2 linked regions of the Ovis aries genome follow. The protein of the gene in region 1 purifies or fractionates together with the protein of each later gene. This does not show direct contact. Links are inferred from orthologs where the notes say so. Each region holds a gene or a part of one and is shown in the gene's direction. Other genes may lie near its edges. The genes, in order: ASIC1 and PICK1.

Region 1 (15,972 bases):
TAGGCTAACTTTTTCACTCTCCTCTTTCACTTTCATCAAGAGGCTTTTTAGTTCTCTTCACTTTCTGCCCCAAGGGTGGTGTCATCTGCATATCTGAGATTATTGATATTTCTCCCAGCAATCTTGATTCCAGCTTGTGTTTCTTCCAGTCCAGTGTTTCTCATGATGTACTCTGCATAGAAGTTAAATAAGCAGGGTGACAATATATAGCCTTGACGTAGTCCTTTTCCTATTTGGAACCAGTCTGTTGTTCCATGTCCAATTCTAACTGTTGCCTCCTGACCTGCATATAGGTTTCTCAAGAGGCAGGTCAGGTGGTCTAGTATTCCCATCTCTTTCAGAATTTTCCACAGTTTCTTGTGATCCACACAGTCAAAGGCTTTGGCATAGTCAAGAAAGCAGAAATAGATGTTTTTTTGGAACTCTCTTGCTTTTTCCATGATCCAGCAGATGTTGGCAATTTGATCTCTGGTTCCTCTGCCTTTTCTAAAACCAGCTTGAACATCAGGAAGTTCACAGTTCACGTATTGCTGAAGCCTGGCTTGGAGAATTTTGAGCATTACTTTACTAGCTTGTGAGATGAGGGCAATTATGCGGTAGTTTGAGCATTCTTTGGCATTGCCTTTCTTTGGGATTGGAATGAAGACTGACCTTTTCCAGTCCTGTGGCCACTGCTGAGTTTCCCAAATTTGCTGGCATATTGAGTGCAGCACTTTCACAGCATCATCCTTCAGGACTTGAAACAGCTCAACTGGAATTCCATCACCTCCACTAGCTTTGTTCGTAGTGATGCTTTCCAAGGCCCACTTGACTTCACATTCCAGGATATCTGGCTCTAGATTAGTGATCACACCATCATGATTATCTGGGTCCTGAAGATCTTTTTTGTATCATCACTTCTTCCATATTCTTCCTCTTCCCAAAACGTCATGCCTCCCTCCCTGCCATTAGGGCCAATCCCAACTTCTACCCATCCTTCAAAACCTGTCTCAAATGCTACCTCCCACAAGACACGTTCCTGCTTACCATCAACTCCCTCCATGGAGCACTTCATTAGTAGCTCTTTCCTGGCAAACAGCACATTCAGTCTCCTGCATCAGAGCCAAGACTCACTTCTAATTCATCTCGGGGAACACAGATCTACCCTGCCCCGGGCCTGGTATATAATAGGTGCTCAGCTAACAGGCGGTGGCTTCCTCTAGCTCTGGGTGGTTTTGTCAGCTAAGCAGAAGCAGCAGGGGCCAGCAGGCTCCCCAGGCCAGTGTCCCTCTGCTTGCTGGCCTCCCTGGACCACAAGAGCACAGGAAACAGCGGCCAGGCCTGCAGGGGCACTTGGAAAGATGGCCGGCACAAGGGGAGCTGTATCTGCTTAGCTCATCAGTGATTCCCCAGAGTTCAGCCCCTCAACATTTTTTTAGACTCCTCTGTGCCAGGCCTTGTGGGGCAGACAGCAAGACCACTGCCACTTCCTGAAGAGGTACGCCCTTGTGCCCCAAGCTCCGGTGTGTCCACATACACGTGCCCCTGTGTGCACCCTACTCAGCCTGAGTCCCTCTCGCGACAAAGCGAGTGTCGTTGGCAAGCCCAGGCTGAGGGCCGGCTTTCCCCCAGTTTCCAAACAACTCCCCTGTCCGTGCCAGCGCCCACCGTCTGCTTGCCCTGCGTCTCCTCCTCCCTCTGTTGGGGCTGCCGCTGATGATGAAATTTGGCTTGCAACACCCTCTTCCTCCCTTTCCTGCAGGCCTGGGAGAGGATTAAGCCGCTGGAGTCTGAAATCGGAAAGATCCCAGCTTCTGCTCCCCAGCACCTCCCCACGCCCCCTCCCCTCCCCGCCCATGCAAAACCAGAAAATTAATCTCCCCTTCTGCCTGTGATATGGCGGGCTGCATTACAAGCTGGGCGTCGAGATAAAGCGAGGAGCCGCGGGACGGCGGCCCAGCACTGGGGCCCCGGGTGGGGCCGGCCTGGGAGATAAGGGCCTCCCAGCCCCATGAATTATTCACCCGCACTGCCTCCTCTGGCTCAGAGGCCGCCCAGGGCGCTGAGATTGCACCTTCCAGAGAGGCCTAGTGAAGGTGGGAGGAGGGTCCATGGGGAAGGTGTGGGCTGTAGAGGGGTCCCCAGTGGGAGCAAGAGGGGAGGACTGTCTTCAGCTGGGGAACAGCTCAGAGACACAAGCTCCTTGCAGGGCCAACTGATGCAGAGGAAGGAAAGTGTCCCCAGCCTAGGGGACCCCAGATCCAGCCATGACCCCCAGGCTGCACTATTGAGCAGCTGCTAGGGCCAGGATCGGCCTAGGTGCTTGTCGTCTAGAGCTGGAGATCCAGACCACCCTACACCAAGGTGCCCAGGACCCCATACACCTACTGATGCGGGCAGAGCACAGGCCACCCTCCCCTCCTCCGGAGGTCAAAGTAGCCACTGCCCACTCTGGGGGGACACCCTGCCTTGGGAAGGTGTTGTCAGGGGAGGACAGAGGACAGACCTACTCCCAGAGCAATCAGAGCCCACAAAACAGAGACTAGAGCAGCTGGAGCAGGAGGAAACTGGAGGTCAGGCTGCCAGCATGCTAAGCTGCTCAGTCGTGTCCGACTCTCAGCAACCCTGTGGACTGGAGCCCGTCAGGCTCCTCTGTCCACAGGATTATCCAGGCCATTTCCTCCTTTAGGGGATCTTTCCTGCGGGATTGATGCGGGATTGAACCTGCATTTCTTACGTCTCCGGCATTGGCAGGCCGATTCTTTACCACTAGCACCACCTGGGAAGCCAAGGAGGCCAGGGTTGGGTAAGGGATTAACCAGGGAAGTTTTCTGGAAAAAGAAAAGCTCCAGGTCCTTTTCAGATCTTTGTTTCTCCTTTGTTCACTCCTCTCAAAGACCTAGAATTTTAAAGCAGTGAGGGACCTTAGTGGTCTCTTCCTTATTTCCAAGTCTCCATTGCTCCATCTCTAATTACCCTCTCTCTGTCTCAGTCTCTCTCCTCCACCTCCCTCCCCACATCTGCCCTTTCAATCTGCCTTGGCCCCAGTTTCTCCTCCTCTCTCTTGCTCTCTGCCTTTCTCTGTCTTCTTATGTTTCCTCTTTAATCATCCCTTCCTTCTGAAGCTGTGACCCGCCCCCACCAAATGACAGGATGACACACAATTTGGGACTTGTGATGGGAGAAAGGTGGCCCCCAGGGAGGAAAAGAGGAAAAAGAGGGGTCCAATGTGATCCTGGAAGTGCAGATGAACCGCTAAGACGCCGGGGAGACAGCAGGGGCAGTATGGGGAGCCTCCCAAAGGTGTCCTGGTACAGGAAAGAGACTGAGTTACCTAGAGTGCCAGGAAAGAGAGGAGCTGGGAGCAGGTGAGGGTCAGAGGAGACTCCTTCCAGGCTGCAGTGCTGGGGGCCCCACCCGGGAAGCACCCTTGAACCCACTGATCCCTGTAGCAGATACGGTGCCCAGTGAACACGGCTCTGTGTTTTGAGACCCTCACTCATGTTGGAGGGGGAGGGGTGATGTGCAGAGAAGGGGAAGAGCAGAGAGCGAAGAGGGACCAGATTGAGAGGTGAACACGGAAAGGAGAAAAGGGTGAGCCCCGCAAAGATGGAGAAAGCAGTGATTTGGGTGGGAGACAGAGGAACATTTAAGTGGGGCAGCGGAGAGATTAGAGAGAGGAATGAGGAAGAGAGAAGACAGGACAGGATTGGGGGAGGGGTGGTAAGCAGGGAGGAGTGAAGGGCAAGGGTAGCAGAGAAATAAGGGAAGAGGTAAAAGGAGCATTTGGACCAGAAAAGAGAATGAAGTGGGAGATAATGAAGGTCAAGAGACAAAGTGGAGTCTGCAGGGGTAGAGGAGAGGTGTCTTGATGGGGCTTGTCTGCCTCAGGTCCACAGCCCCTTCCCACTGTCTGCTAATTAACTCCTTAATTGTCGCCACATTTGCTGAGCTGGCAGATGAAGTGATTGCAGACAGATTGGGGTGTGTGTGATTTCACGCACTGGGGAGCGGAGAAGAGCTGCTGGGAGTCCCAGGGGGCCTTACCCTCCCCCCTTCTTCTCCCTGTCTCCGAGAGCTGGAGGGCGCTTCTGCACCTAGAGCAGATGGGGCCATCTGCAAGGGAAGTGTCCGTGGGGAATTTGCCCCATCAACCTCTCAGGGATGAAAATAATACTTGCTGCTGTTGATGGAACACCTACTGTTTACCAGGCAGACATTTTTTTTTTCATCCCTGTGGGCATTAGCCAGATTTTATGGTTTGTGGAGAAAAGGAGTCTCAGATGAGTTAAGGAACTTGTCCAGGATCACACAGCACTGGTGTGACTGAGGTGGGATTTGAATTCAGGTCAGTATGATGCCAAAGCCCAGGGTGGGTCCTAGCCAGATGCCTTGTGCAGAGGAGAGAGGGATACCTACAGGCCTATTTCTCTCTCAGCCCCAGAAGAGAAAGGCTGCCGAGGTGAAGGGACTGCAGGTGCCAGAGAGGAGGAAAGTGTGGACAAGAAAGTGGGAGGAAGCTAAAGGAGCTAGGATCTGTCAAGGCCTGAATAAGAGGGAGGTGGGCCCAGAGAAAGAGAAAGAAGAAGCGTGACACTAATCACAGTGCTTGGATCCCTCACATGTCATCTTACCAAAGCCAGCTTCCCTTTCCTCTCATCCCTGCACCACAAGCCCCTGTCAGTAGGACTTGCCCTCCTACCACTTGATGCTGGTCCATCCTTCAATTTCACTCCTGGTTTTTGCTAGACTGGAGTCAGTTGTCAGCGTGTTCATCTCTCCTTTGACACTGAGAGAATTTGGCCCATGACTCCAGGGCCAGTCCTGGGGCTGGACACAAGAAAAGCCACAGTGGAAGTTTGCCAAAATGTACAAGGATCCCTCTCACCTCAAATGAAGAGGAAACAATAGCCGGAGTCTGATATACAGGAATAAATAACCAAAGTTTTGATCCAGACCTGTGGATTCTGAAGATCTAGATTTCTCAAGACTGACTGGTATATATCACAGATCTTGAGAAGTTGGGAAATCTGGACCCCACCTCCAGAGATTCTGATTTAATTGGTCTAAAGCGGGGCCACGGCAGCAGCATTTGAAAAAGCTACCCAGGTGACTCAAATGTGCAGCCTGGGCTGAGAACCACTGTCAGATTCTACCCTGATGTGGCTGCACTGGTGGTTTTATTACTGGATTCAAACAGTAATGCTAATAATAAGTTATTACTTATTGAAGATTTCCTGAGTACAAGCTAATGTGCTGAGCTGTTTCTATGCATTAGTTCATGTAATTCTCAGAATCTCCTGTGAAATAAATATTATCCCCGTCTTACAGATGAGGAAACTGAGCTCAGAAGACCTGCTCATTCTACTGAATGGCGGAGCCAGGTCTGGGACGTGAGATTGCCCGAGTCACACTCTTACTTCCCCCCAGACTCCTCCTGAGGCTGCTCCTTGGCCTCAATCAGTCCTTGCCTGCCTCCACCTCACCTCATCACCACCCCCGCTGCTCCCTCAGTAACATCCCAGGTGACTGAAGCAATTTGCAGCCATTTGAAGAAGCTCCATGTGTCACTCAGCCTGCGAGGGTGGGGAGCTAGGGGAATTACAGATGCTTCAAAATGGCCCACCCCTCCTCCTGAAGTCATTTGGAATTCAGGAATCAGACTCTGCCCAAGATTTCCTCAGATCCCTGCTTGGGACCCTCCCAGGCTGAAATCCCATTCCCAAATGCCCCCCTTCGTGGATTCTAAGTATCTGGGAGGGTGCTGCCACCCAGTGGCTGCCCGGACACATGGCGACTCTTTGGAACAGCCTGGTGCTGCTGGACAGCTCCCCAATCCAAGAGGAGAATCTAAGATCCTCCCTTCCTCTTGGTAGCACCTTGACCAAGAATCTAGTCATTGGATCCCAGTCTCCCACCTCCGCAGCCCTAAGCCTACACTCCCTCTTGGGATCTCCAGCTCCCTTCCCTGTAGTTCCATGTGCCCCCTGCCCCCAACCCCTCACAACTTCTCATCCAACTTTTTTTCTCCGTGCCAGCCCCTCCTCATTATATGCTCTGGTTCTGACTTAAAGCCCTGGGAACACACCTCTCACCTCCCTCTCCCAGAGCTGCACCAGCCCACAAGTGGAATGAAGGAGGGGCTAGAGATAGAATTCTTGTCCCCACACTCCCCTCCTCATCATCTGACACCATCAGACCTCAACAGCCTTCGTGCTAAGAGCCCCTAATGAGCATTAGCAAATTAACAACTTCCCTTTGATTGCTCTTACTCTGTTAATTGGATAGGGAGGGCCCCCCAAGGCCTCTTAAAGAGGAGAAGGGAGGAAGAGGAGAGAGGTGAGAGCTACAGGAGAAGACCCCCCCCCCCCCACAGGCCTGGTCTTAGTGGCTCAGAATTTAGCTCCAAACCTGAGTACAGCTTCCCCTTCCATCCCTTCCTCTCCTGTCCACCTCCCCCAACCCCCAACCTCCCACCTCTCCCCATTCCCTTCTCTTTCCCTGTTTCTTGACTTCTGTCCAAATTCCCTTGACCTCTGGCTATTTCCCGTTCCTTCTCTGCTTCTTCTTTAGAGGTCTGGCAATGAGAAGCTGCAAACCTGCCGCCGCCTCCCACCCCCAAGGCAAGGCCAGGGTTACCAGGATGGGGTTTCTGAGGCCAAGGCTCTGTGTTTGTTTATATATGTACATGTGTGTACGTGTCACTTGTAGGTGGGGAGCCAGGATAAGAGCAGGTGAATACTTGTAAGCTCATGAGTTCCTGCTCTGTGGGCCAGGCCTCTGGGGTGTGTGGGTGTCTGTGGGGGGTGCATGTAGGTAGCTGTGAGTGGCGTAATGTGACTCTGGTCTGTATATGTGTCTATGTCTCCGCACGGGCAAGCGCTTGAATCAGTCAAGTGTGACTCGGAGCTTGTGTGTGTGTGTGTACGCGCGCGCGCACACGCGCTTGTGTGCCACCAGAGGAAGCAGCAGTAAGAGGCAGGAGCATCGATCCGAAGGAGACGGCGCGGGGAGGGGGACGCTGGGGGCAGACACCTTCCCTCCCGTGCGCGCGCGCGCGCGCGCGCACTCACACACACACACACACACACACACACACACACCACAGTCAGACACAAGCCACAGGGCCTCGCAAGCAGGGAGACGGCTCCGGGACCCGAGGGAGGCAGCGCCGCCGAGCGCGGCCAGGAGGAGGGGGCGAGGCAGCGGAGGGAACCCTCGATCCCGTTCCCCGGTCCGGGGTCCCCGCGCGCACACCGGCCCAGAGACACCCTCGCAGACACTCGTAGGCGCGCACGCGCACCCTCTCCCCTCCCCCGCCGCCTCCCCTCCCGCCGCCTCCCGGCCGGACGATGGATCCCTGCAGATCCCGGGGCTGAGAGCACCGCGCACCGCGCCGAGCCCGGGCGGACCGAGCCGAGGCGAGCGAGGGAGCGCGCGCGGCGGGCGGGCAGACGGAGCCGAGCCGAGCCGGGCCGGGCGGGCCGCTCCCTGCAGGGCTCTGCGCGGCGTGCCGCGGCGGCCGCCGGCTCCCGCTCCGGGCCATGAGCCCCTCCGCGGCTCGGCGCTGAGCCCGCGTCCGGCCCCGCGCCCCAGGACCCGCCGCCGGTTGCCGGGTTCCCGAAGCCCCCTCAGGTGGGTCTCCGATTCCCCCGCCTTTGGCTGCGGGACTCCCCAGCGTCCGGAAGCCGGGACTTTCCTCCCTTGTCGCTTTCCCCAGCTTCTGGGGCGCCTCAGTGGCTGGGGAGGGGGGCGGGGGCCGAGCAGGGCATCTGGCTGCGTCGAGAAGCTAGACTGGGGTGGGGGGGTTTGCGTCCGGGGCGGGGACAGCTCGTTGTCATAGGGAACCGCCCCCCCCATTTTTGTGCAGCCACCTCGGGCTGCCCTCTACCCCCCACCCCCCACCCCAAACATGCACACAGACAGCCTGTGCCGTTCTGAGAACTGGAGACGCCTGCAGGTGTGGACACAGGCTGGGCCCCTCTCTGCCTCCCTGGGGGTTTCTGACCCAGGTTTAGCTCGTGGGGTCGAGGGCGGGGATGAAAACCCAGTCCTGGGGACACCCTTGACCAGGAACTCCTGAGGCCGGGTTCAGCCCATTTGGGGGAGTTTCTGTCTCCAGGATGGGGTGGACATTCCTGTCCCAGAGTGACCCCACATCTGGAGGAAACTCCTGTGCCTGCCTGTGGGAATATGGGGACTTCCCTCTCGTCCTCGGATGACCACATCTGGGGTCACCCCTGGCCCAGGAGGCTTCCCTGGGAGGGCATTCTTTTGGCCTAAACTGACCCCCAAGTCCCTGCATTGGCAGGAACCCTCTTCTGGGAGGGTGTCCACGGGGCAGCCACCTTTGGGCTTGCCCACCAGAGAAGTCTTCTGCCCCCAGAGGCAGTGACCTCTGGAGGGGGGAACTCACCCAGATGGACCCAATTGAAGGGACGCCACGTGTACTCTCAACCCAGGGCAGTGACTGACTCCCCACCCCTCTCCCCCCAGATCCCCTCGGCCAGGATGGAACTGAAGGCTGAGGAGGAGGAGGTGGGTGGCCTCCAGCCGGTGAGCATCCAGGCCTTCGCCAGCAGCTCCACCCTGCACGGCCTGGCCCACATCTTCTCCTACGAGCGGCTGTCTCTGAAGCGGGCGCTCTGGGCCCTCTGCTTCCTGGGCTCCTTGGCTGTGCTGCTGTGTGTGTGCACCGAGCGTGTGCAGTACTACTTCCACTACCACCACGTCACCAAGCTCGACGAGGTGGCTGCCTCCCAGCTCACCTTCCCTGCCGTCACGCTGTGCAACCTCAACGAGTTCCGCTTTAGCCAAGTCTCCAAGAATGACCTGTACCACGCCGGGGAGCTGCTGGCCCTGCTCAACAACAGGTGGGGGGCTCCTACCCATCCCCACTCCCAGACACCCCATCAGGGTGCTTGTTCTCTAGCCTGCCATACAGCCTAGACAACCCTGCCCTCCAGCCCCCGAAACCTGCCACTCGCAGCAAAGGAATTGGGGTACTGCCAAGCACCCAGTTAAGGGCAACCAATCTCTGATCCCAGCGTGGTTCAAAACAGCTCTGCCCTTATCCAGCCTGAGCTGTGTGACATGGTCACACTCTCTGGAGGGACCTCTGCCCACCCTCTTGCTACTACGTCTCAATTTTCTCCTCTCTTGGGAGATCTGGGCATACTGTCTTTAAAGGGTAGAAACCATGGTATGAAAGCCATAGTGCCTGCCTTGAGCTCTCTGCCCACCCACCCTTACCCCTGTGCTCAGATGCCCGACCCCTGGGCAGCCAGTGCAGATCCTCTGTCTTCTCAGATCCCAGGGGGCAGATCCTCTAGACACGCCCAGCTCTTCTTTTGGGCCTCTGCCCAGGGCTGGATGCCACCCTTCCCCCAAAGTTGGGCATGGGACACTGGAGGCAGAATGGAGGCAGGAACTGAAGATCCTGCCAACCCATGCACTGCTCACCCCTGGGCTCCAGGTATGAGATACCAGACACGCAGATGGCAGATGAAAAGCAGCTGGAGATACTGCAGGACAAGGCCAACTTTCGCAGCTTCAAGCCCAAGCCCTTCAACATGCGCGAGTTTTATGACCGCGCAGGGCACGACATCCGAGACATGCTGCTTTCCTGCCACTTCCGGGGGGAGGTCTGCAGCGCTGAGGACTTCAAGGTGGTGAGTGAGTCCCCTGGCTGGCAGGGCGTGAGTCAGCCGGACCCCTGAGGAAGAGGAGACTAGGAGCCAGAGGGCCTCTGGGGAGGATGTTGTATGTTCCTAGGGTTCACTGCTGGCAGAAGGGGGACTTTGTTTAGTTCAGGGGGGCATTTGCTGTTAGTGAAGGCCTCGGCCTTGTGTCTGTGATGGCAGGAAAGAGAGCCTACAGTGCATAGATGTGTGTGTATGTGTGCATGTGTGTGTGCACACACAGCCTAGCAAAGCCCCCCACCCCATCAAGCTTACCTTCTGGGCCACAGGTGTCAGAGCTTGGGGTGGCAGTGGGTAAGCTGCAGCCTTGTTACTCAAAAGGAGGTCCAAGGACCACCACCTGGGAGCTTGAACAAAAGGTAGAACTTTGCCACCCCATTTCTCAGCCCTACTGAGTCATAATCTGCAGCTTAACAAAATCCTCAGGTGGTTTGAGTTAAAGTCTGAGCTGCAGCATGAAACATGGCAAGTAAGGGAAGCTTTCTCTTAAAAAATTGGACAGGTAATTCCCTCTGTGCCACCCCTGCCCCTGGCCACACAGACACACACAGACACACAGACACACACAGTGTCTGGTTGGGTTCCCCCCTGGCCACACACACACACACACACACAGTGTCTGGTTGGGTTCCCCCCTTGCCAGCACACACACACACACACACACACACACACACACACACACACACACACACAGTGTCTAGTTGGGTTCCCCCCTTGCCAGCCCATAGTCAGGGTCTGAGGAAGAAGAGATGATTTGGGGCTCATAGCATGGCTGAACTGGAGATTCCCTTTGCTTCTTGAAGTAGAGATGCCCCACAAATACTCATACCCCCCGCCCACCACCACAGATGGGCCTGACTGGCATCTCATGTGACAGGTGATTATGAGCAAGTCATACGGGTTGCTGGAGGGTTAAAGTCAGGCAGAGTGTGGAAAGGGACCAGAGGAACTGGAGCCATGTGTGAAGAAGAGTACCAAATGTGAGGATGATGCCTGGAACTCTTCTGAATACTCTCTAGGCTCTCCTTCAATCCCCTGGATGAATAGTCATATTTATCTCTATTGAACGAGTGCATAAGCTGAGACAGAGAGGTAGAATGAGTTACCCAGCTCACAGAGCTGGTTAGTGAGAGACTCAGGATTAGAACTCATGTCTTATTCAGTCCTAACGCAGTGTGCTCTTTGCATTAATATTGCTGACCCTGGAGTTACCATGTTCACTTCCAATTCTGGCCATTGCTCTTGAAAGCCCAGTCTCCTTAGGACTCTTTTTCTCTCTATGTGCGTGTGTGTGAGCTGCTCAGTCGTGTCCGACTCTTTGCGACCCCACGGACTGTAGCCCCGCCAGGCTCCTCTGTCCCTGGGATTTCCCAGGCAAGTGGGTTGCCAGTCCCTTCTCCAATTTTCTCTCCATACCTGCCCCTAGTTCTCCACTCTCAGATCCTCCCCCTTTGCTCCCTGCCCATTTTCTCCCACACTTGATTGCTTCCTCCCTAGCATTAGGGGAGCATGAACTGCATTTGTGTAGAAAGGTTAGAACCATGGTCATGCTTGTTTTTTCCTCTGAAGTTATACAAGACTTCCCAATCTCTTTAAGCCTTGCTCTGAGACCAGTTTCACGGGCCTTTGTCAATCCTGCTGGACAAAGCTTACATGACCACAGTCCTTGCTGAGCCAAGCTCATAGGGAGCTTAGTGTGAGGCAAGAACCATTTCCTTCCCACTTTTTCTTCCTCAGAGCAGGTGAGTGCTAGATTCCCCAGAGCCCAAGACCAGAGGGCTCCCAGACTCACCAACTGTATTTCCAAGGGTAGTAGAACTATAGATGAAGGCTGAAATGAAAGCCAGAGCCCTCCTCCTCTGCAGCGTATTTCACACAAGCAAAAGGGACCATCAAGAAAGACAGAGGGATGACCCTGGGGGATGGGATGGGGAGGGAGGCGGGAGGGGGGTTCTGGATGGGGAACACATGTGTGCCGTGGCTGATTCATGTCGATGTATGGCAAAAACCACTACAATATTGTAAAATAATTAGCTTCCAATTAAATAATTTTTTTTAAAAAAGAGGGGATTTCTCTAGTGGTCCGGTGGTTAGGACTCTACGCTTCCACTGTGGGGAGGGGTGCAGGTTCGATCCCTGGTTGGGAAACTAAGATACCACATGCCACGCAGCCAGAACAATTTGAAAAAAAAAAAAGAAAGAAAACCCATTAGATCGAATGGTTTGTAGTGTTTGGATAAGGACAGGAATTTGTTGGCTCGACCTGGGAAGGTGCTAAGGCAAAAAGTGGGGTTACCATTAGTTCATAGAAAGTGTACAGTTGAGGCTTCATTCGTCCTTTATGTCCAGGAAGATTCCAAGTGGTGATGCTAACATATATTTGGTTCATGGAAATTGAGATACTGAAATGTGATCGGTCCATGTTGTCTGAAGGGACAACCCTACACAATTAGATGGAGAGATGATTGGTCCACAGAGTTCCAGAGCAATGAGAATTCTTCTTCTTGCTGGGGAGAGATACCTGGCTAGAATCCCACAGCCCCAACACTGGCACTTCTTGGTCCTGGGTTGTCGGGGAAGATTAGGTTTTTGCTGTTTCTAAGCCCATGTGGAAGACCTGACCCTGAATCTAGCTGGATCCAAACTTCTCAGATCTTCCTTCTACCCTCTCAGGTTGCCCTCACTGCAGTCCCTTTCTACTCTGCCCAAAGGGATGTCCCTGCACATGGGAGTCTGGCTGACATCTCCCTGGTGGAGAAGGGTGCTGGCATTCTCCAGCTCTCTGGCCCTAAGGGGCACAAACACTCATGCGTGATACTCCACCTTCATCCTCCTTAATTAACACCTGCCTCTCCATCCTTGCTAGTCTCTGCTAGGCCAAGAGGCGTGTACCCAGCCCCTGGACAGATGAAGCACTGACAGAAAACATCTGTCTGTCAGATCAGAGCTTAGGGAGACCATCCTGGCGTCTTTTGTTCCCGTGAGAGTAGAGGTTCTTAACCAGGCATCCAGTGCCAGCTCAATGGGTTTGCAAAATAGAGCATGTGTGGACACATGTGAACTCTTCCACAGGTTCCGGGACAACCTTCATCCAAAAACAGGACCCCTGAATCTGGAGGATGGTGCAGGGGGCATAGGAAGGGCATCCTGTGGTCCACCAGCTCCCCCGGTGGGGTCTACCGTCACAAGCGTTCTCCCCAGATCTGCTTCTGAATCCTGCTCAACCTCGGGGATGACCTGGTGGTCGAAGAAGTGGCTTGGCCAGGTCCATCCCCCAGTGGTGGCAGAGTCAGCTCAGGAGAGTGAGGGGAACCTGGGCTAAATCTGGGAGAAGCTGGTTTGGAAACCTTTGGGGACTGAAAAGGCAGAGGGCCATGGGGAAGAGCTCCCCACAGCAGCCCAGTTGGGTTGACCTCAATAGCTTTCTCCTGAGCTACCAGAGACCCACAGGCCCCATCTTTCCTGGCCTCCTCTTCTCCTTCTTGATGGGGTGTTTGGTTGCCAGGGCAACAGGGTCTGAGACTCCACTCACCCACCCCACTTTGAGGCCAGCCAGGGCAAGGCAGGGCAGGGGTTCCATGGAGGAGGCTGGGGGGCGCAGCTGTCTGCTGGTGTCTGGGTGGGGGCCAGGGGGGAGCGAGCGCAGTCGCAGCTGGTGCCAGCCTCCAGCTGCACCTTATCTGTCCCTGGCAGTGGGAGCGCCGATGTGGCTGGAATGCTGAACAGTTCCAAGGGGAGGGGGCTGGCAGATGGTGGCCTAGTGTGCCCTATGCCACCCCCCTTCTCCAGCTGAGACCCAGAGCCTTCGCCTGGGGGAGAGAGAAGTGGGAATTCATCTCTGAACCCTGCGAGAGATGGAAGGGAGGGGCAGAGAATGGAAATCCCGGGGTGGGTGTGCAGGGGGATAGTCTTCTTTCAGGAGGGGGTGGACTTGGGGACAAGGGATAGGGGACAAGAATCCCTGGGGGACCCTGGAGTGGTGGCAGAAGCCTCTCAGAGGAGAGGTGCAGTGAGGAGGTAGACAAATAAATCCCCTCAAGGCTCTGGACCTGGACAGGGAGCTTCTGGAGCACCTAGGGGAGGTGAGATGCCGATAGAGGGGGCGATCCTGGGACCCAGAAGCGAGCAGAACCAGGCATGGTCGGTCCCAGGGAGAGCCAGGACTAGCAATAAGAGCTTCCTTATCTCCAGGGCTGGCTCTGCCAGTTCACTGACACCCCTCACTCCACACGACCCCACAGCAGCTCAGACCTTGGATCCCTGGGGAGGGCCTGACCTCACTCCCGGGGTCTGTTCTCTCCAGCTGGGCAGGGAGTGGAGGGGGTGCTGGTGGGGCGCTGCTCAGACTGCTGCTCTCAGAGGAAGGAGGTTCACTGGGCTACCGTGTCCAGAAGCCTGGTGGTCTTTGTCTGTCGGGGGAAGGGGGTGCGGATGGGGGAGCATGCAGGGATTCCGGAGGGACAGGAGGAGCTGGCGGGCAGAGATTAGGTTTGGGGAAGGGGCACCCCGCCCTCAGGCATTCTTGGGTACTTCCATCTCTCCCTCCCACTCTCAGAAGTGTCTGAGGTTAGAGGGGAGGTGACTGAATAGAGCCCATTGCAAGAATCCAGGGGACCCTGCATTGAGGTCTCTCTCATAACACACGACACATACACACACACGAATCCAGGGGACCCTGTATTGAGGTCTCTCTCATAACACACACCCACACACACCCCCTTGGGTGACTCAGTTTCCTCTCTCACTTCCTCCCTCTCCTCCTCCCCCATACCTTGCTGTTTCTGACTCCACCCCTCTCCCAGACTGCTGTCAGCTAAGGGGTTACTCTAAGTTAATTGATCTCGGCTGTTGGCTAAAGTAATAGGGAGTTGATGTAAGTAAGTGCCACTGGGGGCAGAGCCGGAAATGGAGGGGTGCGGAGGAGCCGCTTCCAAGCCTTGGGCTTTCTTCTGCCCCAGCCAGCGGAGCACTACCTCTAAGGTGGGGCCGCCTTGGCACCTGGTGTGCATCCAGGAAGCAAAGGGGAGGCCTGCTGAGAGGTCTGAATGTCTCTGCTGGCAAACTCTGGAGGTGGCTCGGAGCATGCTTCAACTTTGTTGAAGGCAAACTGAATTCCTGGGGATGGTGAGGGAGACTGGATGTTAGGCACGAGTGCTGGGGTTGGGAGAGTCAAGCTTCGCTGAATTCCTTCCTGTGACCCTCTGAGGACCTTAGAAGTGCCAAGCCCCGTGCTGGGCACCAGGGGGCAGTGGTGAGCAGGCCGACGGTGTCCCTGCCCTCAGGGAGCTTAGAGCCATGTGCTGTAACCCCAGGAGGCACAGAGGGCAGGGGTGGCGCTAAGGGAAGCCTAAGGGTTTCAGAGCAGAAAATCACGTGCCAGGCATGAGAGGTCCCTCATCATCTGGGTGGAGTCCTTCCAATCTCCCCAGCCCAGCTCAGCTATTCCGAATCTCCAGTTCTACAGAAAGTATGGTGTCTCCCCACCCCAGCCTCCTCCCGCTGACGACCAGTCTAGTTCTTGTCTGTGGTCAGGCTCCGGAGGCAGGAGCTGTCCCTCACTGTTCATCTGAAGTGGCTCTGAGAGTCTGTACCCTCCGCTGAGAACCTTGGGATCAGAATTCTGGCGAGGGGTTCTGGGAGGCAAAGCAGGGAAGGAGACAGCTCGCAGGAGAAGGGTGTCTGGTTTGGGTGGAGGGTGCAGCTGGGCACTGGCGCTCCTGGGATCTCTTTTGGGCATAGTTTCATCTGGCTCCATTTCTCAATTTCCTCTGAGCCAAGGGGGCTCTGAATGGATTTTTAAATTTGCCAGGGGGCAGCTTCTCCTTCAGCTTCTGGGACTCTCTGGCTAGCCCCTGCTGGCTCACGGGTGGAATGGGTGTGCAGTACATTTCCCAGATATGGGCATCAGACATCTTTGTGGAAAATTTTGAAATGATCATGAAACTGCAGTGTAGTTTCAGTCACCTTGAGGGGAAATTCCCTTAGGAAACTCAGGACGGAGACGCTCACCCCAGGCTCTCCAACGCCACTCCTAAAGGAGAAGGAGGGCAAGTTGTATCTTTTCTGAGCTCCTATGAATTCTTGGAAAGATAACCCTTTCCTGATCCTCTCATCTGCCCCCTCCATGTGGCTGACAGTACTTGAAGCCTGGGAGGCTGGGCTGTATGGCTGAGTATTGAGTGTCTCTGGTGTGTCGGCTCTTTCGTGCCTGGCTGGGAACATCCCTGGGGAGAGAAAATGCTGCAGTGGCCTTGACCCTGGACAGCAGCCAGCTCAGGCTTCCTCACCACAC
Region 2 (15,360 bases), about 79 Mb from region 1:
GGAGGATAAACTGTGAGTATGTTGTTACCCCAAGTCCCACGAGTGCAGGAACCCCAGATCCCCCTAAATCCCTGGACTTTCGAGTTCCACAGACCCTTGCTTCTCAGCGTAAGCTTAGAAGCTGCAGTGAATCCTGCCCTTCCAGAAGCTCACCATCTGTAGGAGGCTGTGGACATATTGAAGTATAATTGCAATTCAGGGCCACAAGGGCCCTGATGGAGAATGACATGGCTACAAGGAGAACCCAGCCAGCTGAGCAGTGCCTCTGCTAGGGTATTCAGGGAAGGCGTCACAGAAGAGGTGGCAATTGAGCTAGGTTTTGAAGGATGAATAAGAATTTCATAAATACACCTTCCTTCCCAGCATAAATGATTAGTAGGGCAGACTTTTTAAAAATTAAGTTAGTTTTCTTGTTAGAATTGGAGAAGGAAATGGCAGCCCACTCCAGTATTCTTGCCTGGAGAATCCCATAGACAGAGGAGCCTGGCAGGCTACAGTCCATGGGGTTGCAACGAGTCGGACATGACTGAGCAACTTCACTTTCTTTCTTTCTGTCACAGAATTGAGCTAGGTTTTGAAGGATGGATAGGAATATCATAAACATACCTTCCTTCCCAACATAAATGATTAGTGGGAGAGATTTTCAAAAATTAAGTTAGTCTCCTTATTAGAATGTATCCTCCCTCAGAGCAAGGACTGAATGCAGTGCCTTTCTGTGTCCTCAGCACTGACGGTGCTCAACATCAGCAGGTTGTTAGCAAATGTTTGTCGAGTGAAGGAGAGAATAAATGAGAGTATTTGCCATAAAACATAAATAAGTGCTAATGTATGGTGAAAATTGAGAGGTAATTGAGTATAACAATTGAGAGATGTGTGATGCATAGGTTAACAGGAGAAGGCTTCCTGGAGGTGGTGGCCTGTGATTTATGTAGCTGAGAAGGTGACAAGAATAGTCTGACTCAACTCTTAGAGGGAGAATGAAGAACAGGGATAGGGACCTATTTTTTTGAGTACTTACTCTTGGCTGAGTTGGTGTTAAGTGGCTTCCATGTACTTTTAAAATGGCCATTTTTTAAAATCAAATGATTTTATGAATGAGGAAACTGAGATGCAGAGAGGGTGACTTGCTTATTCGAGACACACAGCTGATAAATGGCCAAGTTGGGGTTTAATCCTCCATTAGCATGCATCCAAGAGCTCTGCGGTGTTCCAGCACAAAATGACAAAATGCTGTCTTTTCGGCCAAATGAGAAAGAGCTTCCCTCGGTAGCACGTGCAGCACTGGGAGGCTCTTGGGGGTTTTGGAGGGCCTGCCTCCACCCCCATCTCCTCCAGTCATTCTTTGTCCAGGACACTCAACTGCACGTGCTTCTCTTTCCAGCGGAATCCCTACTGTGCCTGGGAAGGTGACCCTGCAGAAGGATGCTCAGAACCTGATCGGGATCAGCATTGGAGGAGGAGCCCAGTACTGTCCCTGCCTGTATATTGTTCAGGTATTGAGTGCTTTGGAGGCAGGAGGGAGGTGCTGGAGGGGGCGAGCCACCTCCCTACTTGGACATGACAAAGGTTCATTCCTCCACTCTGTAAAGCTGGCTCTTTATTCTCTTCAGAGGGGCTTCCCTGAATACCCCCTCTCAGTAGGTCTGCCCTTGTTTTTCTGTCATTTCAATCTGTTTTTTTTCCTTCTCAGCAGTTACCACCATCTGTACTCTCATGGATTTGCTCACTAATTCTGTATCTAGCCACTTTTCCAGACTCTCTGCACTATGAAGGCAGGATCCCAGTTTGCTTGTTCACTGCAGTCAGCATCTCGTACAATGCCTGGCAAATAGTGGACCTTCAGTAACAGTGTTGCCAATGAATCAACAAAACCATCAACCTTTAGTACTAACACAAGTGTGAAGCATAGTAGAAAGCCTAAAAGACTATGAATGGCCTGAGTTTAAATGCAAGCTTCCCTGCTTATTAACTTGTTTACCTTTCTGGGCCTCAGTTTTGTTACCTGGAAATTGGGGATGTAAAATGCGTAGGTCTGAGGATCTTTGGGTTGCTGTGAAGAATGAACTCAACGATGACATCCCGCAGTTTCTGGCCCTTAAGCAGCACTCCCTCAATGGCAGCTGTTACTATTTTTATGACCGTTCACTCTCCCAGATGATCTGCCAGCGGCACTTTACAAGTTTGTGGTCCTTATCGCACAGGAGCTGTCCTGGTGATGTTCTGTCATCTGTGATTCGCAAGTGGGGACTGGCCTCCTTTACTGTGGGGCTGGTCAGAGTCAGTGATCTCTCTAGTCTTGGAAGGAAGCTTGCTCCCGTAGACATCAACTTGACCTGGACTCTGCTCTATTCTAACCTTCTCAGCTAAGTAGCCATTGGTGGCAGATGAGAAACATCAGTCTCTCTGAGGATCTTGCAAAAGAGTCACTTCTAAGGCCTTGAAGATGGAGATTCCCTGGATCTGGTCTTGCCCACTCAGAATGTGGCCTTTACAAGCCCTTTGGCCTCCTCTGACCCAGGAGGTGTTGGGGAGGCCTCCCCCAGGCCTGACCTCCTCGAAATCTGCCTGTTCGGCCTCCTGTGCCACCTTCCCCTCCATCCCCGCCCCCTGCTGAGGGCCAGGTTTGTCCTTAGTGTGAACTGTGATTATAAATAGTAGAATTGATTTTTTCAAAATTCAGTTTTATTTTTAATCAAAGACTCTCTGACTTGCTTTTAACAAGTCAAGAGTACTAAAAGGCCAATGTCAAATAAGCAATTCCCTGCTCTACCCCATCTTGCCGCCCTTCCCCCTCCCCAGGCCTGCCTCCACCCAATCCCAGAAGCAACACTGCTTCCCACCCTTTTAGCTGTAGATTCAGGTTGGAGGTCCCATTTTTTCTCAGTAAGATGCTTATCCCGTTACTTCTTGATCTGTCCCTTGTAAACATCTATCAGCTTCTCTCAGCCAAGGAGACAAGAATTTAACTTTCTTCCCAAACCACTGTTTCCTCCCACTCCATCTTCCTAGCACGGTGACCTTGTCAGTTTTGATCCAGTCTGTGTCAGTGCAATAGGTTTCATGTTTGGGGACTATTTCCTCAGGGCCTGGCCAGGGTATCTTGCAGACACTAGAGTTAAAGCAAGAAAACAGAGGCCCTCCTCTCCACCTCACCCAGAGAGCTCAGAGCACAGTAAGGTGCATTCTAGGTACCGAGCTTAATGGTCTTCTGTGTACTTTTTCAAAAAATATTTTTATTATGGTGAAATTCACGTAGCATACAATAGTGGTTTTAAAGTATAACCACTCAGTGCTATTTTAGTGCGCTCATGGAATACAGCTACCATCTCTGGTTTCAGAACTGTCTCATCACCCAGACAACCACCCGTGCCCTTGAGTGATCATGTCACGTTGACGTTCATTCACGTTGCAGCCCATTTCAGTACTTCCTTCTTTTCATGGCTGAAGAGCATCCCACGGGATGGATAGACCACCACTTGTTTACCCACTCATCTGTTCATGGACATTTGTGTTGTTTGTACCTTTTGGATGTTGCGAATAACACTGCTATAAACATTCATGTCCAGTTTCTGTGTGGACATATGTTTCCATTTCTTTTGGATATAAATCTGGAGCGGAATTTCTAGGTCATATGCTAACTCTGTGTTTAATTTTTTGAGAAAGCCTGTGATTCTTTTCTTAACTCAATCTTCTTTTTTTAAAACAAGTAATTTCTTTTTTTTTCCATTTGCATTCTCCTTGTGTTTTCAGTACATTTACCGCAAACATTTCCCATCATCTTTCTGTCCTCCACCGCTGGTCTTTCCTCTTTGAACGACCCCTTCCCTCTCCTCTAGTGGACTGGATTCCCTCATCTCCAGGATCCCTCTTTCTTGGCTTACTTCCCCACGTTGGTGGAGCATGTTTCCTGTAGCTTTCCGAGAAAGGCTGCTAGGGCGGTCAATTTTTTGAGAACTTGTGTCTCCGTAAGGGTCTCGTTCTGTTTTTTGTGGTTGTTATTCTCATATTCATTTCAGTTGACACGTGAGTGGGTCAAATTCAAGAATGAACATCAAGGTTGAAAATAATTTTCACTTAGAAATTGGCTGGTGTCATTTCATTGTCTTTTTGCCATCAGCATAGTTGTCCTGTCTGGTGATGCCAGTCTTACTTGTGAGCCTTTATTTGCAGTAACGTGTTTTACTGTTGGCCCATGAGAACTCCTGGGCACTTCTCTTCATCCCTGGCATTCTGAAGCATCGTGACGACGGCTCTTGGCGTGATCCTTTCTCTGTCTGTCGAGCTGGAACCTCAAGGGGCAGGTTCATTGGAAACCCCATGTCTTTCTCTTCTGCATCTCACATATTATCCATGATGCTGTCCTGCTTTCTGTTCTCGCTTTTGGACTCCTGTTGGTTAAACTCTGAGCTTCCTATTGGTTAAACACTGGGCTTCCTGTTGGTTAAACTCTGGGCTTCCTATTGGTTAGACTCTGGGCTTCCTATTGGTTAGACTCTGGGCTTCCTCCATTGATCTTTTAGTATTCCTTTTCTTGTTTTCTGACCATCTCTTTTTTGCTTCCCACTGCTTGGTTTCCAAAGTTCCTTTGGCATTCTCCATTTCAATTATGTTTTGTGTTTTCCTATTTCCGAAATGATCCTTTTACATCATCGTGTTCTTGTTTTTCAGGTCTCTGTGAGGATGTTAATTGCAGTTTTCTTTTTATTTTCATATTATATAAGATGAATATATCTGAAATATGTTTATATTATATAAATATTTCATGTTACATAAATATTAGAATATTTCATATTATTCCATTTATTTTCATAATCTTTCATATGGTTGCCCCTGTTTTGTTCCTGTTTCCTGTGGTTCTTTTTTCTATTTAAATGTTTTGGTGTTTTTCACATGGGACACTTTTTCAAGGGCCCAGTACTCCCCGCCTGTCTTTGTATCTAAGAGCGAGCCCTCACAGTCACGACGGGTCTCACAGTTCTGTGTGGTGGCAGAGTCAGCTGGTGGGTTCCGCTGCGGGGCGTCAGCCAGTCTTCCAGCGCCCACAGAGAGAGGCCTTTCCTGCGGAGCTGTTGGGTGGGGGGGGGCCCTGGGGTGGGGCCCCCCGCCAGGCTCCTGAGGCTCCAGGCTCCAGGTAAGCCTGGCTGCCGGTGTTTTGGGGCCCCACAGGGACTATGGGGCTGTGGGACTCAGCACACACTTTTGTCGCCTGCTCATCCTGAGTGTCTCCCCCTGTCTCTGTCCTTTTAACAGACACATTCAGCCACATTGAGCCAGTGAGCACAGAACCCCCTGGATGGGGTCACTTGGGGAGAAGGGGCTCGTGTGTGTGAGGGCCCTTGCTCCTTGGGGACTGCAGTGAGGTTGCAGGAATTGATCAGTGGTGCTCTGGCACCCAGTCAGCTCCGAGCAGCGTTGTTGGAAAATCTAAACAAATGACTTTGGAGGAACAAAGCCTCCAGTGGGTGTGTAAGGTTGGGTGCAGTTGATATCAGAAAAGGGACGTCTTATCAGTCACATTTACTTCCTGCCCTCCTTCCCTTTCCCCCAAGAAGGTGGGTCATTCATATCTGGCTGTTGGGGTGTTCTCTCGCCTTGCCCTTCTCCTCGCCACGTAAGGGACAGAGTAGAGACCAGGACAGGGCTGGTGCTGGTTGGGGTGGAGGGCATGCCCGCCTGCGCCAGCCTTCTTCCCAGCTTTCCTTTCCTCCCGTCCATCCCCTTCCACACCCACAGGTGTTTGACAACACACCCGCCGCACTGGATGGCACTGTGGCAGCTGGCGATGAGATCACAGGGGTCAATGGCAGGTCAATCAAAGGGAAGACTAAGGTGGAGGTGGCAAAGATGATTCAGGAAGTGAAGGTAAGGCGGCGGCGGCGGCGGCGGCGGGCACACGCGCCCTTTTGAGACCCCAGCCTGCCCGAGGCCTCGGCGGGCCTGCAGGGGGCCTGGCCCTCACCTAGCTCCCTCCTCGGCACCTCGGGATCTGTCACATCCCAGCCCCTCCAGTGTCCCCCGGGTTCATTTGGGAGATGCTGACTACCTCCAGGACTTGTGCTGGGCCCTGGTGAGACAGTGGGCACCACGACTCAAAGGTCCTGCCCTCGAGCTCCCAGGGGAGCTGCCAGACTCAGAACCACACCTCGGGGTGAGCCAGCGTGTCCCCAGTCAGGGCTGGAGCTGAAGCTAGAAGTCCATGGTGCACCTGCCCGGGTCAGTAGATACCCAGGAAGCGTCCTCTGAGCCATGCTGGGCCCAAGAGGGTGTGAGAGGGAAAAAGGCACCCCACCTACCGTTCCCTGCAGGAACCTGCAGTCCTGTGGGTCCTCCTGGTCTCACACATCACCCCGGGGACCCCTCTGGGCACCAGGGCAGCTCCGTGTCCAGCTGCTGGCGTCCTGTTCAGCAGGCCAGACTGCACTGCCTGTTTCCTGCTTCCCCCGCCCTGCTCTAGGCCAAGTCCTCTCCCTACAGAGCCCCTCTCTCCTGCCACGCCCAAAAGCATGCAGCCCTTCTGCCATGTTTTTGGAGATTTTTGCTGCTGGCAGCTATTGCAAAACCAAAACAGTGAAGGTGCAAAGCCGCAGGATGATTTAACGCTCTGAGAGTCAAGCATCCGGCTGCCCGCTGAGCTCGGTCGAGTGTTTGGGCTCCCTCACCCCATCCAGCCAGACCTCTCCTCACTTCCCTCCCATCCTCTGTGTCTTAAAGGCCTGGTACCAGCATCCCTGACAGTCCGTCTTCTTACCTTAGCCCCGGACCCACGGCTTCCACTCTCTCCCCTTTGTTCTCCTCTCCTGCTCCGCCTGGTGTGGAGTTTACTGCCCTGGGCATTTCCTGTTGGGCAGAGGAGCGCATCATGGGAGGTGGTGGGCCATGTTTCATTCTGATATGGAGCTGGGGTCCGTGTGCCCCCCCCCTCTGGATCCCTTTTCTCATTTCCCCTGTCTCTACCCACCAGAACCCTCCTTGTCCTCCCGAGCCTGTCTCACGCCAGCCTCTCACATTACCCATGAGAATAGGAGCTCTTGGCAGGTGCGCATGGCCTTGCCATTGCCTGGGGACTCCCCAGCCCCCACGTTTGGCAGACATCTGGGCACCCATCTCACCAGTGCCCTGCAGGAGGGAAGGAGCTGCTTGTGGTCGCACGGCTGGAGCAGAGCCCAGATCTGGTCCCACCTTGGTGCTCCTTCCTCCCCTACAGCCGTGCTCTGTGGCGGCCCTGAGCACCCTGCCAGGCAGCCTTCTGCACGCTCCCACCCCCCGACTCATGGCCTCAGTTCACTCTAGTTTCCCTTCAGGATGCAGCTTTAAAATTCTGTTTTGTATCTGAATGAATTCAGCCCCCAGCTCAAGGGTCTTAGGATCTCAAGCATGAGACTGACCACGGTGGCCTCACGTGGTCAGGGCAGCCTTCTCGAGGGAGGCCGGCTATTTCTCGTCCAGTCACTGGACTGCGATTGGTGTAATTCCGCGAATTGCATCGGCCTCTCCTGCTGGCCTCGGGCTCTGGGGGGCTGCAGCCACCCTCTCACCTGCTCCCCAGCACCCCAGCACCTGACACAGAGAAAGTGCTCGGACGTGTTTGTGGGGCGAATGGCAGGACTCCTGAGAAGGGGGCTAGTTTAGAAGATCCTCTCAGAGGACAGGAAAGTGGCCTGGCAGAGGTCTGCACTGTGGCCGTGGCATGGGGGAGGGCAGGGGCACGCAGTGTCACAGACCGCCCGGCTGTGAGCTCTGTGACCCCAGGGACCCTGTCTGCCCTGTCCCTGCCGATTTTCTGGGGCCTGGTGGGTGGAGAGAGGAGGAGGAACCCTTTCCCCGTGCTCAGGATTCTTTGATGACCACAGATACCAGGGCAAACAGGCCTACTCAGAGAAGGGGCTGGGGCCCAGGGGCTCCATCACAGCTCTGCTGTCCTCTTCCAGGGGGAGGTGACCATCCACTACAACAAGCTGCAGGCGGACCCCAAGCAGGGCATGTCCCTGGACATTGGTAAGCTGTGCCGGGGCAGTGGCGTCCAGGGGCTCTGCAAGCCCCCGTTCTGTCTCCTTGTGACAGTGCATCAGTGGTCACGTGGCTGTGCCCTCTGACCCTCCGACCAAGCCAATCCAAAGCAGCTGGGAGGACCCAGGGGTGCTCCCCGGAACCCGTCTCTGGTTTCTCCCTGCCTAATGGTTCACTCCCCTACCTCCCTCGACCGCCTGCTCTGGTGCCTGCATGCCGTAGGGCAGCCCTCCAGCTCACTAGGCCCAGTCCCTCACCACTCTGAAAGGGGAGGGCAGCCCAGCCCTGCCTGGTACCGCCTGCCCACCTGCACACCCCACTCAACCCTGGCCTCTTCTGCCCACCTGCTGCCAGAAAGCCTTAGGGTCTGGATAGGCCCTCAGGTTCGGGGCAGAGGGCAGTCCTGCTGCCCACAGCATGCCCTGGGACATATTACCTCCTGCTCGGGGGCTGGGCCTTGGCTCTGTAGATGCTTCCAGGCTCAGGAGCCAGATGGGAGCTTCGAGGTCCTCTGGACCAGCCACCTCACTGCACACCAGAGCCCGGGACCCAGGGAGGCACTGTGCCCCCAGGTGAAAGCCCACCCAGATCTCTTGGCGCTGGGGCCCAGCACCCTTTCCCTCCACCCTTGGGCCACAGTTGCCTTCTGGTTTTTAAGGAAAGAGGCCAGTGTCAGGCCTAGGCAGCTCTGGACTTCAGTGGGAGTCGATAGCCACTTTGAGTGCCAGACCCTCAATTAAGTGCCTTACATACTTATTGTTTCCAGGCTCCCAACACCTCTCTCAAGTAGAGAGTGAAAAGGGCAGGGAGCCCAGAAAGCCCATAACCCCCCGCCAGGACCCTCCCTACTTCATAGTCACCCCCACCCCAAACCCCAGTTCCGGCCCTGCTGTTGCTCCCAGTGAGTCGTGATGGAGCAGGATTGGCCCTGGGGGCCCAGACTCCACCTCATGAGTCCTTTCTCACCTGGTCCCAGTGCTGAAGAAGGTGAAGCATCGGCTGGTCGAGAACATGAGCTCGGGGACGGCAGATGCTCTGGGTCTGAGCCGGGCCATCCTGTGCAATGGTGAGCCCCCTTCTCCCAGCCCCACCACTGGTCCCAGGGGACTCAGGCCCAGGCCTCCGGGGCTCGGGTGCCACGGCTGCCCACCAGACCTGTATGTGTCCCGCTGGCCTGGGCCAGGCCTCTGCTGGTGGGGCCAATACTCACCATCTCTCTGCCTCCCTGGAGGCCTCCCCAAGCTCCCACAGATCACCCACAGTGCACAGTGAAGGCCTCTTACAGCCCGTGTCCCCCCGCTTTCCAGCAGGGGTTCACAGATAGGCCCAAGTCACAGATGAGAGACTCCTGGTGGGCAGGTGCCTCCTGCCAAGCTCCCCAAGCTGGTGCCTTCGCCACTGCCCCCCAGGTGCTCTCACACAGCCAGGCCTCCCCCACCCCAGCCCCAGTTCTACCCTGTGCCCTCTCGTCACCCCAGCACGTCCCGGCTGCTCCCGGGCTGCTTACCCGGCCCCCCGCCTCTCTCCAGGAGGTGGTGCTGCTGCCCAGCAATTCCTGCTCAGACCTGGAGGTGGCTGTGCTCGCCTCCCGCAGCGGGAAAACTGAGTACATGCACATTCACACCCACACATGCCTGTGCACACACAACTCTCTCCCCACACGCTCACACCCACCCATGCGTGTGCACACGCGCTCTCCCCGGGGGGTGGGGGGAACCAGTGAAACACGCAGTCCCGCTCCCGCCGTCACCAGCCCAAGTTTATAAATAGCAGCAGCTCTGCTGTGTACGTGTGGGGACAGATATAAATACCAATATAAATTGTAGGCTCAGCTGGGCGCACTGGGCTTTATTGGCTGGGACATCGGGGGTGGGGTCTGAGCTTGTTCCAGAGGGTGTACAAAAGTGGCGGCTGCTATTTCCAGCTTCTTGGTGCCTATAAATCCCTGTTACTGTAGTTACCATGCGTCGAGATGAAATTAGAACTGGTTGTTGTGTTTTTTCCCCCCCAAACCTTGCAATTTCCCCAGCCTTAAATAGGGTTTCTAAAATTGAAGCTGTCATGATGTCCCATGACCCAGCTAAAAACAACAGCACGGCGCTTACGTGGCTCCTTCACTGCCAGGCTGGCCGGGCGCCAGGGTGCTGGGGCGCTGGGGCCTGGAGGCCAGCCCAGTGGCTGAAGCCTCTGAAGACCTCTAAGGAGCGCCCCACCAACCCCTAGAACCCAAACCCTCCTCCCTGACAGCCTGACACACACTGCATTCTCTGCCCAGATTTAAGAATCCAGACCTGGCTTCTACAACCCTTCCTCTCCTCCCACTCAGAAAACCCTGGCCCAGGTCAGCACAGGAAACTGAGGGGGCAGAGGGCACTCTGGCCTGCACAGCCCTCGCTGCGCACCTTTAGGCAAGTTGCTTTACCTGTCTGAACCTTGGTTTTCCCTATAAGATGGGGGAAGTAATCTGCCCCAAAAAGCTCATGTGGAGAAAGGACTGAGCTGGGTGGGGGGCTCCAGTGAGGCCAGGCTCTGTCTTAGGAGGCCCTGGGCCAGGCAGCCACCAGCATGGACCCTGCCCCACACTTGCTGCCCGTGCTCCTGGTGGGGAGGTGGGTGTGGGCCTCACCCTTATCAGAGTGGAGGAGGGTGGTGATCACTGCTGGCCGGAGCCCCGCCCCACCCTGATCTGGAATGCAGCCCCGGCCCTGGTCATCCACTTGTTCCTATCTTGAGCCCTGGAGGTGAGGCAGCTGCCCCCATCCCTCACCTGGCAGCCCTTACTGCCCCTGCCAGCCATGGCCTGGCCACTATCACCGCTAGACCAGGAGCCTGGAAAGCACCACTCAGATTTCATTCACCAAGGTCATTCCCTGGCCCAACACGGGGTCTGGCACATAGTGGGTGCAGGATAAACACCTGTGAAGCCAGTGAAGACGATCGCCAAGGCCCACTCCAGTGCAAGCTCTTCCTCAAAGCCCTTCCTGCCTTTCTCTCCCCTCCCAGATTGCTGTCCCTTCTGAGCTGCCAGGTGGTGGCGGGCTGCCTTGAGCCTACCTTAAGAGTTACTGTCAGGCATCCCGTCTCTCCCACTTGTCTCTGACTGCCTTGCTTCCTAGCCGTTGGCAGGGCGTGTGTTGGAAGTTCTGGCCAGGTCCTTGACTGCTAGGCAGGGGCTTGCCTTCCACCGGCCTTGGGCAGCTACCCTTGGGCATGGCCTTGGGGAGGGCCCAATCCAGTTTTCACTCCTCACTTCTGGAAGCACCCGCATCCTTGTCACCATGTCCCAGCCTCCTGGGGTGGTGCTTATCACAGCCTCCTGAGGGTCGCCCTGCTGTCCCGCCTTGTCTGGGTATAGTGGGCTCGTCACAAAACACCTGCGAGCCCAGCCGCCCTGAGGTGCCCAGTCCCCATCCCTGGGACCCTGTCCTGTTCTGTTCCTGGTTCTTTGGGGGCCACCTCGCCTCTCCCAAGCCTGGCTCCAGTGATCCCTGGGTCTCTCCCCTCACCCCTGGCTCTCTGATCCCCACAGATGGGCTCGTCAAGAGGCTGGAGGAGCTGGAGCGGACCGCCGAGCTGTATAAAGGTGGGCAGGCACACCCTCCCGCCAGCAGCCCTGGGTGGGTGGGGTACTGCACCAGAAGTGCCTGGCCCGGGTTCTCCCCGAGGTGGAGCTCTGGAGCCCTGCTGTAAACGTGATGGCAGTGAGGGGCAGGGTGCCAGCCACACAATTCTAGGACCGTAGTCATTAAAAATTCTTAAGAAAATCTAAAGACCTGCTTTTTCTGATTATAAAAGTAACATGTGCCCATAAAAAAGAACGGCACACGTAAACCGAGTGAGAAAAGCCTGAACCTCAAGGACAGTGTGGGCCTCGGGTGGGGTGGGGGTTTGGAGGCCGTGTCCTGGACCAATGTCATCCCCACCGTGTGGTCCTGTCCCTCTCATTTTGGGTCTTTCCCACAGGGATGACAGAACACACCAAGAACCTCCTCCGGGCCTTTTACGAGCTGTCACAGACGCACCGGGGTAAGGATGCCCTGATCCTGCTACATGACCCTGGAAAAAACCCTGCACTCTGGGCTCAGCACCTCCCTACACCCCACGGGGAGGGTGAGGGCGAACTTCTCTCTGGGGCCTTTCTGCTGCCCAAGCTCAAGCAGACCCTGCAGCATCTGACCTCATGTCAGATTTGGGGGTGTGATGGTGATGGGGCCAGCGGGGAGCCTCTCGACCAGCTAAGCTTCTGTGGGGTGCAGAAGATCCCCGTGCAGGCTCTGTCCTGTCTATACTGCTGCTTACAATGTACAAGGCCTTTTCTTATTCCCGATCATGTTTCCTACACGTTTGTTAGCTTCAGTTAATCCCATTTTACAGCTGGGAAGACAAAGCCCAGGTAGAAGAAGCAGTAACCCAGCTCCTTAGGTGCAGGGTTGGCCTTAGGACCAGATTCCTAGACTAGTACTCTGCTCCCAGACAGTTTCACCTACTCCACTTTGACCCTGTCTTCCTCGCATGGTCTGGTCACTTCAGGAACCAGGTCAGCTCCTTGGATGTAGACCCACCTTCCTTGGGGGTACAGGTCCAGCTCTTAGGGGTGTAGATCCACCTTTCTTGAGGTTTAGACCCACCTCCCTGGGATGTAGACCACCAGCAGACCTCAACCTCCGACCCACCACGCCCCCCACCATGCTTCTCCCCAACAAATCCCTGGCTTCTCCGTTAAGGGGTCAAGTAAAGGGGTCAAGTAGGGGCGGCCTTCAGAACAAACTTGTCACGCAGCCTTTGGGGACGTGTTCTCTGTGATCGGGGTGCGGGAGCCCCAGCCCGCTGCGAGTGAGGCTTTTGTGAAGTTCGCCGATGCCCACCGCAGCATCGAGAAGTTTGGCATCCGGCTCCTGAAGACGATCAAGCCGGTAGGTCACGTGGAGCGTGCGTGGGTCCGTAGGTGAGCGGGGAGGAGCAGTGTGGCCAGCGGAGTGTCTTGTTCTGGAGGCGGAGCACCTAGGGGCTGGTTTGGGGGTGGGCTGCTACAGCTGACCGTGGCTGAGTCCTTCTTCCTCCACGACCTCAGCACTGACCTCCAGGCTGGTTTCCGGCCCTGGCCCCACCAGAGTTACAACTTGCCCTTGGCCTGGGCTGTCTCCTCCTCGGAATGGACAGGGCAGTCGGGGATCTCCCCTCGGCTCTGACACCTGAGTCCACTAGAAGGGTGGACGCACCAGTGCCACTCCTTGTCGCCCTCTCCAGCCTTCACCCGCCCTTGCCCAGGGGGCCTGAGCGTCCACCCCACCTCCCCTTCCAGATGCTGGCAGACCTGAACACGTACCTCAACAAAGCCATCCCGGACACTCGCCTCACCATCAAGAAGTACCTGGACGTGAAGTTCGAGTACCTGGTAAGTGGGCCCCGGCCTCCTGGGGGGGCGGTGGTGTGGGCCCGGCCTGCTGGGGTCAGAGCCCACCTGGAGGTTTGTTCCTCTTCAGTCGGCCGCTTGACGGCCAACGGGTCAGGGCCAGGACCTTGGTGACACCTGACTGGGGGCGTGGCGCCAGGGCCCTAGGGAGGTGTTCGGGGCTCAGGCAGCAGCCTAGGCCCTGCCTTGACTCTTCAGAGGAGATCTGGGGTGGGTGGCGCCCTTGCTCGGGACCCACTCTGACCCCATGGGAATTTTCTTCAGTCACCCTTTAACAGTGGATCAGTCTAGCTCACTGGTTGTAACATGGATTTTCATGAGTCTTATGATCAAATGGTAATTCTGCGGTCAAAGGAGTTGAGGAAAAATACTCCACTGAGCAGGCCCACCCAGGTCCTTTGCTTCAGGACTTGTCAGAGCCTTCGATAGACCCATGTGTAACGTGGGTCTTCAGGGGCTTCCTCAAGTTCTTTGGATCCTGAATCCTTTAGCCCAGAGCATCTGTTGGGACTTGGGTGTAAACGCTGGGCTCTCGGGCCCTTTCCATCGTCCCTGATGAGTGCCCTCACCACCCTGAGCCTCCAGGGCAAGGGCCAGCCTCTCCCCACACGTCTCAGCTCTTTCCAGCTCAGGGTGTGCAGGGCCCACAAGGCCTGGCACGGCTGCTCCTCTGGGTGGCCGAGGGCTCCAGGGGGGCATGGGAGGAACTGGGGCCATCAGGGTGCGCGCCCAGGTGGTGCAGCCCCCCTGACAGCCTGGCCTCACCCGCCCCACAGTCCTACTGCCTGAAGGTCAAGGAGATGGACGACGAGGAGTACAGCTGCATTGTGAGTGGGGTGGGGGAGCACGGCCCTGGTCCTGGAGTGGCTCGGGGTGCACACGCCTCTCCCTGCCTGCCTCACAGAGCCCCAAGAGCGTCCTGGGCCTGCCAGGGACACGGGGTGGGGCGGGCCTGCCCAGGAGAGGCCTGGGGACTTGGCCAGGCTCCTGTTTGTGCAGATCTGGGGGCTGTCCTTCCGTCCCTCCCTGTGGCCTCTGCAGGCCTCCCAAGTGCTGGCCATTTTTGCCGTGGAACCATCCCCACTGCCTGCTCCCAGACCAGCTGCCCTCTAGACTTGGTGAGGCTCCTGCAGGAAAAAAAAAATGCCCTTCCTCTCACTCCTGAGAGCTGGGTTTTTTTCACTTGCTACTTTGTAATATTTTTGATAGCAGGGTCCATCTGTGACTCAACACTCATTTAATGTGGCAAGAGTCTGGGGTTTTTTTTTGTTCTTGTTTTCACAAAGCTATCCCTAAGCACTTCTAGCAACTGCAGGCGTCTCAGAAACGGGGAACGGTGGCAGCTTTGAAAAGTGCCGTGTGGTGGGGGGGTTGCGAACTGGCGGGTTCTCTGCAGCCTCTCTGCCGCCACCCCCCGACCCCTGCCGCCTGCCCAGGGTCCCTGACGTGCTTCCCCCGGGCCCAGGCCCTCGGGGAACCCCTGTACCGCGTGAGCACAGGCAACTACGAGTACCGCCTGATCCTGCGCTGCCGTCAGGAGGCCCGCGCCCGCTTCTCCCAGATGCGCAAAGACGTGTTGGAAAAGATGGAGCTGCTCGACCAGAAGCATGGTGAGGGGCTGCGAGGCCCCCCGACACCATCCTCCTCCCCATTTCAGAGAGGTCCAGCACTCACCCGAGCTCCCAGGGACAGCCCGTGGCAGACTGACTCTGAGTCAGACCCGAGATGGGAGCGTCCCAGAGCCTGGCCAGGGTGGGACTGGCCGTGTCCCGTGGACTCCTTGGGGTGTAGTCCCACCATCCCCAAGCCCTACCCCACCCTGGCAGTTCTCTTCTACTCCCTGAACTGGGAGCGGGGAGGCCTGGGTACTGTGCAGGGCTGGGCAGCCCTGGCTGGCCTGGCCCCCTCCGAGGGTGCCAGGGGGCAGTGAGGTGCATGAA

The links.
Region 2: the proteins of ASIC1 (region 1) and PICK1 purify together in Homo sapiens (affinity purification with western blotting; 3 studies listed by BioGRID and IntAct, with this or other methods). This does not show direct contact. The link is inferred for Ovis aries from reciprocal best matches to the Homo sapiens genes ASIC1 and PICK1.

The regions. Positions count from the first base shown.
Region 1 is NC_056056.1:136,245,428-136,261,399, reverse strand, and holds the start of ASIC1 (acid-sensing ion channel 1), read left to right. Parts: upstream 1-7,412; 5' UTR 7,413-7,614; intron 7,615-8,475; 5' UTR 8,476-8,490; coding exon 8,491-8,852; intron 8,853-9,454; coding exon 9,455-9,650; intron 9,651-15,972. UniProt on the Homo sapiens protein: Forms voltage-independent, pH-gated trimeric sodium channels that act as postsynaptic excitatory receptors in the nervous system, playing a crucial role in regulating synaptic plasticity, learning, and memory.
Region 2 is NC_056056.1:215,665,340-215,680,699, forward strand, and holds part of PICK1 (PRKCA-binding protein), read left to right. Parts: coding exon 1-12; intron 13-1,381; coding exon 1,382-1,493; intron 1,494-3,710; exon of another isoform or gene 3,711-5,733; coding exon 5,734-5,862; exon of another isoform or gene 5,863-6,837; intron 6,838-7,928; coding exon 7,929-7,995; intron 7,996-8,983; coding exon 8,984-9,073; intron 9,074-9,514; exon of another isoform or gene 9,515-9,708; intron 9,709-11,061; exon of another isoform or gene 11,062-11,536; coding exon 11,537-11,590; exon of another isoform or gene 11,591-11,970; coding exon 11,971-12,033; exon of another isoform or gene 12,034-12,786; coding exon 12,787-12,920; intron 12,921-13,309; coding exon 13,310-13,402; intron 13,403-14,196; coding exon 14,197-14,247; intron 14,248-14,885; coding exon 14,886-15,030; intron 15,031-15,360. UniProt on the Homo sapiens protein: Probable adapter protein that bind to and organize the subcellular localization of a variety of membrane proteins containing some PDZ recognition sequence.